Linked DNA regions of Zea mays. The protein of the gene in region 1 interacts with the protein of each later gene in a pairwise test. Links are inferred from orthologs where the notes say so. Each region holds a gene or a part of one and is shown on either strand. Other genes may lie near its edges.

Region 1 (3,820 bases):
TGCCAAGGCTTTAGCAGGGTAGCTATGCCAACAAAAAAGTTTTTTTTCTCAAACACATAGGATAACTACATTTCATTAATAAAAACACCTAAACACTACGCACCCCCTTCATCCATCCCAACCTACCCCACACAAACCACTAGGCCCACATGGACACCACACACGTTGAAAGATCAGAACAGAAGCACCATTGCAGTTCACTTTGGTGGTTTAGGGGTGCATGATTTGGTGCGGTTGGGATGGGCTTTGCGTATTCGCTGGCTGTGGTTGTGGAAGACCGATGTCACAAAGCCTTGGGCCAGGCTTCCTATTCAGATCCCAAGACAAGCTCGTGCTTTGTTTCATATGGCAGTGAATGTTCACATTGGTAATGGAGAGTCCACAAAATTTTGGTCAGACAGATGGCTACAAGAAAAAAGTGTTGCTGAGCTAGCCCCTGACCTTTTCAGAGTGATCCCAAAGAAAGTATCAAAAAAGAGTACAGTGAGTCAGGCTTTCCTTAACAGGAGTTGAGTTACAGATATCCAGGGCGCTCTTACTGTAAGAGTGCTGATCGATTACCTCCGCATTTGTGATATGGTTGAAGGCATTGTGCTGCAGCCAGAAATCCCAGATCAATATTCCTGATAGCTCTCCTCTTCTAGATGCTACAGCAGTAAATCGGCTTATAATACTATGTTGTTAGTTCCATACCATTCTCTCCTTGGAAACGGATTTGGAAGAATTGGGCACCAGCAAATTGATTTTTTTTGTCTGGCCAGCCATCAATAGTTGTTGCTGGACTTCAGAGTTCGGATCGCCTGGTGAAGTGAGTGCTACCACATCAGCCGGCCTGCCCCTTCAGTGATCCAGACGTGAATCAATTAACCATATCCTCTGCGTGTGTGCTTACAAGGGAGGTTTGGACCTGGGTGCTACAAAGATTGCAGCTCCCTGACAAGGTGCCTCTAGGTTCGGCTAGTCGCTTCAACTCTTGGTGGTTCTGTGCCTACGGAACTTTGCCTAAGGAGCTCCAGAAGGATTTTAACTCCTCGGTCGGTTCTCCAGGATCTCCTCTTGAGGTCCCTGGCCCCTACCCCTTAGGTGCTGCCTGATCGGGATCATTTTGTCTGGTCATGATCGTGTAGTTTCTGTTTTGTAGTGGTTTGATTTCTTTTTACTCTGAGTGGTCCTTAACAATTCGGGGGTGTACCCTTTTTCCTACCTTAATAAAATGACACGCATCTCTCGTGCATGGTTTGAGAGAAAAAGACACTGCCACAACACTCATGGCAGGGAGGCCTAAACAAGAGATATGACCAAATTCCTAAGGTCCACAGCCTCAGCAGTGCACCAGGCAGCCCCTGCATCAATCACCATCCTGACCAGTGACCACCACATCTACAGAAGTACTATTGCTGAACACTGAACACATAATCATTGCAATGTTCCCATAGTTCCTCTGTCAACAAGGATGATGAGGGTGTTGAGTCCTTTCCTAGATTGTTTGTCAACTCTTTAATCACTTTGCACCACTAGTTACAGAACGGGAGAGAGTCTAACAGAGGGATCAAAGCCTGCAGCTCAAGTTCATGCGTAAAAGATGAACTGCACATCTTGCAAAAACGCATGAAGTTAAGAAATTCTGGATTGTTCCTCATCCTGATCACAAAAGGGGCAGGATCTTGGGTGTGGCAAGATTCCTTTCTCAAGCCTATTTGCAGTCCAACATCTGTTGAGGTCTGCTACCCATATGAAGCACTTACAATGGTGAAGAGCCCAATATTTGCAAATGCTTTTCCAAGGCACAAATCTGATAGAACCAGTGTTCTAAATCGCCGGAGATCATGCTTAGCGGCAACATCTCCAACCAGCTATGACAGACAATCGCCCATATTACAGCCGCTACGACGTACGTAACAGATAGTCACTCCACCCAGGCTACTGGGCCACCTCTTCAGGCCTCCTTCTCGTCCACACATCTGGAACAACACTGTCCACACATTTCACACTTCTCTGTTTTGTCCAACTCGTGTCACCTTCACACCGTACTCTCTGCAATGCAGCCTCACCTTTGCATTGCCGCCGGAGCCCAGAGAGGATGTTGCTCCCTCGATCCTGCTCACTCACGCGGACGTGCTTGGGGAGCACCGTGACATCATGACCATGGCGCGTCAGTGCCGTAGGAACCCAACGCTCCCTCTGTTTCTCAAGCTAGAGCCGAGTGAACGCATCTGAGGAGCGTGATGACAGAAAGGTGCCAGATCGACGAGTGGAGGCAAGAGGCCAACACGCCACCGGTGGTCCGAATACCTCCCAAAACAGAGCCGCTGCTACTGTTACATGCAGACTGCAGAGGTAGCCATCCAGAATCAAGCAGCGGTGGACAGCGAGGAAGGTCTCGGCCAGCCCTGCAGATCTCCGACAGATAACGGGTAAGCAGCGCTAACTCATTCGCTGTTTAGTATATTTCTGCATACTAAATCGGGCTATTAGCGGTTAGCGCCTTGTGAACTTTCCTAGCGGCACACCCGTCCAGCCGCGATCTCCTGCTAGAGCAACCACTGTAGCCAGAGATTTAGAACCTTAAATACAACCCATGAAGTAAATAGTGCTGGTCTTGCACACCATCATGTAGATGAAAATTTTCCAAAAGATCCCATAATTTCAGATAATCATCAATGATGCGAACTGAGCAATCACACTTGACATCCCCAATCCATTGCCTATTTTTAAAAAGCTTGGCTCATTGTTCTTTGGCTGTGTGCACGACAAAGGACAAGGAGGATGAGATTGGGAGCTATTTCAGCCACCATTTTGCCTTGCACCCAACGATCCGTCCAGAATTTGGTTGTTGTCCCATCACAGGGCCATATTAAACATGGCTTTCGCATTTGGATGAATCTGCACATGGAGTCCCGCCCAAGGCTTGAGTAGGATTGGTCTTTTGGAGCTAAAACCAACAGATACAGAACTATAGAAGCGCCCAGCAGAAAGTAAGAGTTTTATTTGAGCATAGAAAACTCCTTAATTGATGAGTTGCTGCAATAAATACATTGCAGCATGAATTGTTAGCATTATGATAGATTAAATTGGCCTTTAGTGTCAAATGCAGTTGGTACGATAAACATAAAAGACAAAAGACCATGAAGAACAATAGGCCAGGAAGCTGATGAAAGAGACAAAAGGAAGAATCCAAAATACCTGCAGGAAGGAAGTTGCTAAAACAATATCAATGGAGTCCTGGAATCTCATTGGATACACAATAGTAACTTTATCTGCCTGAAGAAACAACACAGTGAATCCCATTTGTTGCAAATGATAGAATTAGTATGGCACACTTAAGTGATATAATTTGATATTGATGTCCCTAAAGTTATACCTGGGGAGCAAGGAAAAATGATTCATTAGGGCGGTGAACAAGAGCAACAAGGTTGTTAACATTAGGTGCAACTGTCTTTGAGGCTAAATGTTTCAGCAGGAGCTTCAGTGGTGCACCCAACACAACCTCTCTAATAGATGCAATTTGTGTCAAGATAGTATTCCTTTGCTCTGAAATATAGAAAAGAAACAAATGGTTAGAAGCTACAAATACAGAGAACATGACTCATATAGAAAAATGATCACATTTCAGGAGATGGCTATGGCTTTGGCAGACTTATCCTGAAGAGAATACAAGGGCTTAAATGTAGAAGTGATGGATGAAAATAGAAATATAAAACTCCCACATCATCATCAAATAAATGTAATGAAATGAATGTCAATAAAAACCTAGTATGGTGACCTAAAAAGTAAAAAACACAACACTTCAGCAGTGCAGAGCCAGCTTTATTCCAATAAA
Region 2 (4,459 bases), on another chromosome or scaffold:
GAGTATGAAACAACTCCCTAAGTATAGGGTCTAGAATAGAGATATTTAGAAACTTGGTATATTTGAGGACCTCATTTAGGAAACTGTTGGAGGATGATTTTTTGATCGATAACACCCTAAATTAATTTTAGGAACAAGTGAAGATGCTCTTAAGCCATAATCAGCAGATTCCTTATCCAACCTCCTATTTAAAAAAATAATGCATTAGTCACGCCACAACGCCAACAGTCGGTGAAAAACAATGAAGGCCTTGCAAATGAAAGAATAATTAAAAAACACAGGAATTGATCACATGAACAATCTCAGAGCGCTATGTGCGTCCTGATACTGCAATTGTCAGCTGTTAATCAGGTGGCCCAGGGCCACGAATGCATCTTTGGCAAGGCATTTACAAGAGCTGTCGTATAAAAAAAAACTTAAAGCTGTTGCAGAACGGCAGCTTAGTTGCAGGCCATGATAATCAACACTGACTACGGCCATGGCCGAGTCATAAGAACTGCTTCAAGAATTCAGTGGCCACTAGCCGGCCACGAGTGTTTACTGACAGCTTCAGCTCGCTGATCTCCTTGTCAATATCCTGGGGTTCATGTAAGCAGAATAGTGTGAGTACGCTGCCAACATACAAACAACGTTGCATCTATCGACCAAAAGAGAACAAGCGACAAACTCAAAGCCATGCCTATGCTTATGCGTATGAACTTACCTCCATAAATTGCACGATGAAATCTATGAGCTTGTGCTTATGCATGTCCTCACAATGGTAGTTTGTTATCAGGAAACTGATATCATAGCCCTGAAACATAAGGCATAATTTGCCACCAGTTCAGTCGTGAACAATTTAGATTTCTGAAGGGATAAGCAGTTATGTTGATAACTTGGTAAAGCTGAGCTCTATGTGGGAATACGGCAAGATAAGAGGGGAGAGAGAGAAAACTAGTACAACAAATGTTAGCAAAAATATGGTCCATCATCCAGCTGTCCACAATGATGTATCCCTGTGCCTTACAGGTAGTTCATGTTTAGTACATAAAACACTGCTCAAGGTAATCAACGTTAAGTTGGAAACCTGAACCGGTTTTCTCCTCAACACTTGGAATGCCTCTGCCCTCATTGACAAAAACCTAAGGAACTTCTTGGCAAGAATGTTCTCCAATTCATCTGCCTGCTTAACCTGCCAGATCAATCAGAAGCTATAAGTATATACCAGACAGCAAATGGTTGCATGACAAAACGTATTAAACACAAGCAGATGCAACACATGTGAGCAGGCACCAAACACTGCCATCGGGTCCACCTTTTTAGTTTGTATCAGGAATATTTTCTAACAATTTTGCTACCAAATCATACATCAAATCACAGTAGCGTCCAAATAATATGCCAAATGTATAGCAGCACTGATACCCCAATAACCATTGAAAAATCCCACAAAGCTCTCCAGTGTACCTTCATGCTTATTCGTATGGAGTTGATTGAAGTCTCTATCAAGCATTTTTCTGCTTCGTTGCGGCATATCAGTACCTGTACATAAATGTAGGAGTATGAGTCACAATTCTCAAAATATTAACAGAACTTATAAATCTCTTCCAAATAAGCATAAGGGATAATGTAAGTTACATCTACAAGCAAACATATACTTAATTGGTTTGGCAACAACAACCAACTTATCTTAAGTGGTATCTTGGTAAAAAAAATGTTCTAACAAATATCGGCAACCATTTTTTTCCACAAAACATAAATCACTGAAAATTCCATCGCAGGTCAAAAGAAGATCCAGCCTTGAGTAATCAAGCTTAAATTTACTTAGGAATGTTAAACGATGAAACAGAGCTGTCCGTGATTCTTAGCTTGGTATCATAATAGTGCACTTGTTCCAACTAAAAACGACGGCACTGCAATCATTAGTAGTCCATGTTTTGCCATGTTGGGTTTAGTTACCTCGTACATATTAGAACACACTCACACTGTCTCCAAAAAGAAAATAAAGGTCGATAATGAAGGGTTGTAAAATGAATTTAAGATACTGTCAAAGAAGTCTCCCTCACCGGATTCAGCAGAAGTTCAGGGCTTGTCCTGTGAATAAGATTAAAAATGAAGATGGATTAGTAAGGGCAAAACGATATATCCGCATGAGCCTTTAGGAAATTCACGAGCAAACAAGAATTGTGTTATTATTTATAGGAGTCAACATGGAATGGGATATGAATTATGAAGGTTAAGCACATGTGCCAAGGAAGAAGAGCACTGAACAACCATTGTTGCCTGCTTGCAGCATGACTTACTTGAGCTCCACCTCCGGTTTGTTGTGCCTCTCGACTTCTTGGCAAGGGAAATTCTGGTACCAGAACAAAAGGACAAACCATCCACGTTACGCTCGTGGTGAACTGGGAACAGCAGCAGGAGGAGGAGCCTCGAGCAGAAGCAGAAGAGAATACCTGGAGGCACATCGCCGCCTCCAGAGTGTTCCGGATGCAGGTGAGGTACAACCGCAGCGTATTGGCCTGCGAAAAAGAGTCGCTCGTTAACGTTTTGAGATGTCGATGTGTCTAGCACACGCCGAAACGAAGATAGTTTTTGCCAGATACTGAAGTTATAGCAGGCGTAATACTACAATGGGGATACGCTACACTTGCAGTTACGATCAGATCCGAATACGAATAGCCAGATAGCTTAAGTTAGGGTTCGGGCGTTCCGTTTCGCGCAGCAGGCAGGGGTCGGCATACCTGGTGGGTGCTCATCGCCGGCGAAGAGCCGGACGAGAACCTGGGCACCTGGCGTAGGGCGGCCGCGGCGGTGGCCCAGGCGTCGCCGGAAGGGAGAGAGATCACGCAGGAGTGAACGAGACAAGCAGCAGGCCTGATGCGTGACCACGGGGCCTCTCCTGGGCCGGTTTTCTTGGGCCGTTCCTTAAAAACGAAAGTATACATGTTCGCCTAATACAGGGGAAGAAAACGAACGGGTTCGGGATAGCCTACCTCCCGTTTTTTTCATATTTTATTTCAGAAACGGGATTAAAAATGAAACCATAAAAAATGGGACTAGTTAGATGATAAAACGAATCAAATTAGAATTAAACGTAAAAAGTGAAAACATTGCCGCATGGAATATAAAAAATAAAACAACATTGCGATCAATTTAAACATCACTTCTAGACATACACAAGCAATATATATAATAGAAAGCTCTAGCCCAACGATGTCATCCGGTTCAGCCGCACCAGGTTCGGGCGGCTATAAAAACACATCCAGACCGCTATGGATTAAGTTTTAGCGGCGGTGGCGATCCTAGAGGCCAGCGGCGGTGGCGTCCCGAGCCAGGCCACCGGTGGCGACACTCCCTAGGATCGAGCGACGACGATGCTCCCGAGACGGGCGGGCAAGTGGCGACGACGCTCTTGAAGTGGACGAGCGGCGACGGCGCACCCTAGGCCCTGTGCGCGACGACGGTGGCGCGAGACGCGATAGGTTTCGGCAGTAACGATGGTGGCCACGGAAGACGTGGGTTGCTCCGGTGGTTCAGCGAGGCGTGGTCATCTCCGACGATGGCGACACGTGAGGCATGGGTGGCTCTGGCGTCATTCGATGAACAACTCCTCTGATCCAGTGGCTTCGACGGCGTCCTACGGTGACGACCTACTCCAATCATTTGTTTATGCATGCAGCTGTTGGTTGAGTCCATACTAAGTTTTTTTATTAAATATGATATACCGTGTAGGTACTTATGCGACCTTCTGTAACAATTTATGTTTTACGCGATATCAGTCATCCAACTTTTGTGTGTATGCCATAGAAACGAAAATGACCCTCAAAATTTGTGCGCATGCAATAGAAACTCCCACGACCTACCATAGTTTTCGGATCTGCATATATAAAAATATGAACTGCATGCATGTGCCTAATGGTTGACATATTGGTAAGATCTGCCAAATAAATAGAATCATGGATGTGTCTGGTGGGGTACACGCCTGAATGCATGTTCGTGGAGGAGGGACGACATACAATCACATACATATTTTTATGTCACTTTATATACATATTTATAGCAACATTAAGAGGTTTGCAAGAACTTTCAGATTGGATCAGTATTTTACGCTCATAACTTCAGGTTTTTACGCTCAAAACTGAAGGTTTTTATCCACCAGTACACTTCATGTCAGATTTTTACGCAATGTACTGCATTGCATAAATAGCTACACAATGTAGTATAATTTGTATCAATATATATCATAAACTAGTGCTAACGAGCCTAGCTGATTGGTTGTTGGAGAGATCTTATATTTATGGAGAAATTAAAGCATTTAAATCAGATTTTTTGTTTTCATACATGCCAATATATTTTCTTTCAACGCACATTCTTGGTATCATATTTTTTTGCATATTCAGCACAAAATAGATTTTTACGTAGCGTGCCACATTGCATAAATACATACATTGTGTAACATAATTAATATTAATATATATCA

Evidence for each region.
Region 2: the proteins of Actin-related protein 2/3 complex subunit 2A (region 1) and Actin-related protein 2/3 complex subunit 4 interact in binary tests that used the Arabidopsis thaliana proteins (3 or more experiments, as listed by UniProt). The link is inferred for Zea mays from reciprocal best matches to the Arabidopsis thaliana genes DIS2 and ARPC4.

What each region holds. Positions count from the first base shown.
Region 1 is NC_050097.1:239,331,137-239,334,956, forward strand, and holds part of Actin-related protein 2/3 complex subunit 2A, read right to left. Parts: intron 3,532-3,820; coding exon 3,362-3,531; intron 3,262-3,361; coding exon 3,184-3,261; intron 1-3,183. UniProt on the Arabidopsis thaliana protein: Functions as actin-binding component of the Arp2/3 complex which is involved in regulation of actin polymerization and together with an activating nucleation-promoting factor (NPF) mediates the formation of branched actin networks.
Region 2 is NC_050100.1:1,392,236-1,396,694, forward strand, and holds Actin-related protein 2/3 complex subunit 4, read right to left. Parts: upstream 2,831-4,459; 5' UTR 2,736-2,830; coding exon 2,721-2,735; intron 2,499-2,720; coding exon 2,433-2,498; intron 2,333-2,432; coding exon 2,280-2,332; intron 2,071-2,279; coding exon 2,043-2,070; intron 1,519-2,042; coding exon 1,444-1,518; intron 1,172-1,443; coding exon 1,067-1,171; coding exon of another isoform or gene 1,007-1,066; intron 794-1,006; coding exon 704-793; intron 578-703; coding exon 488-577; 3' UTR 285-487; downstream 1-284.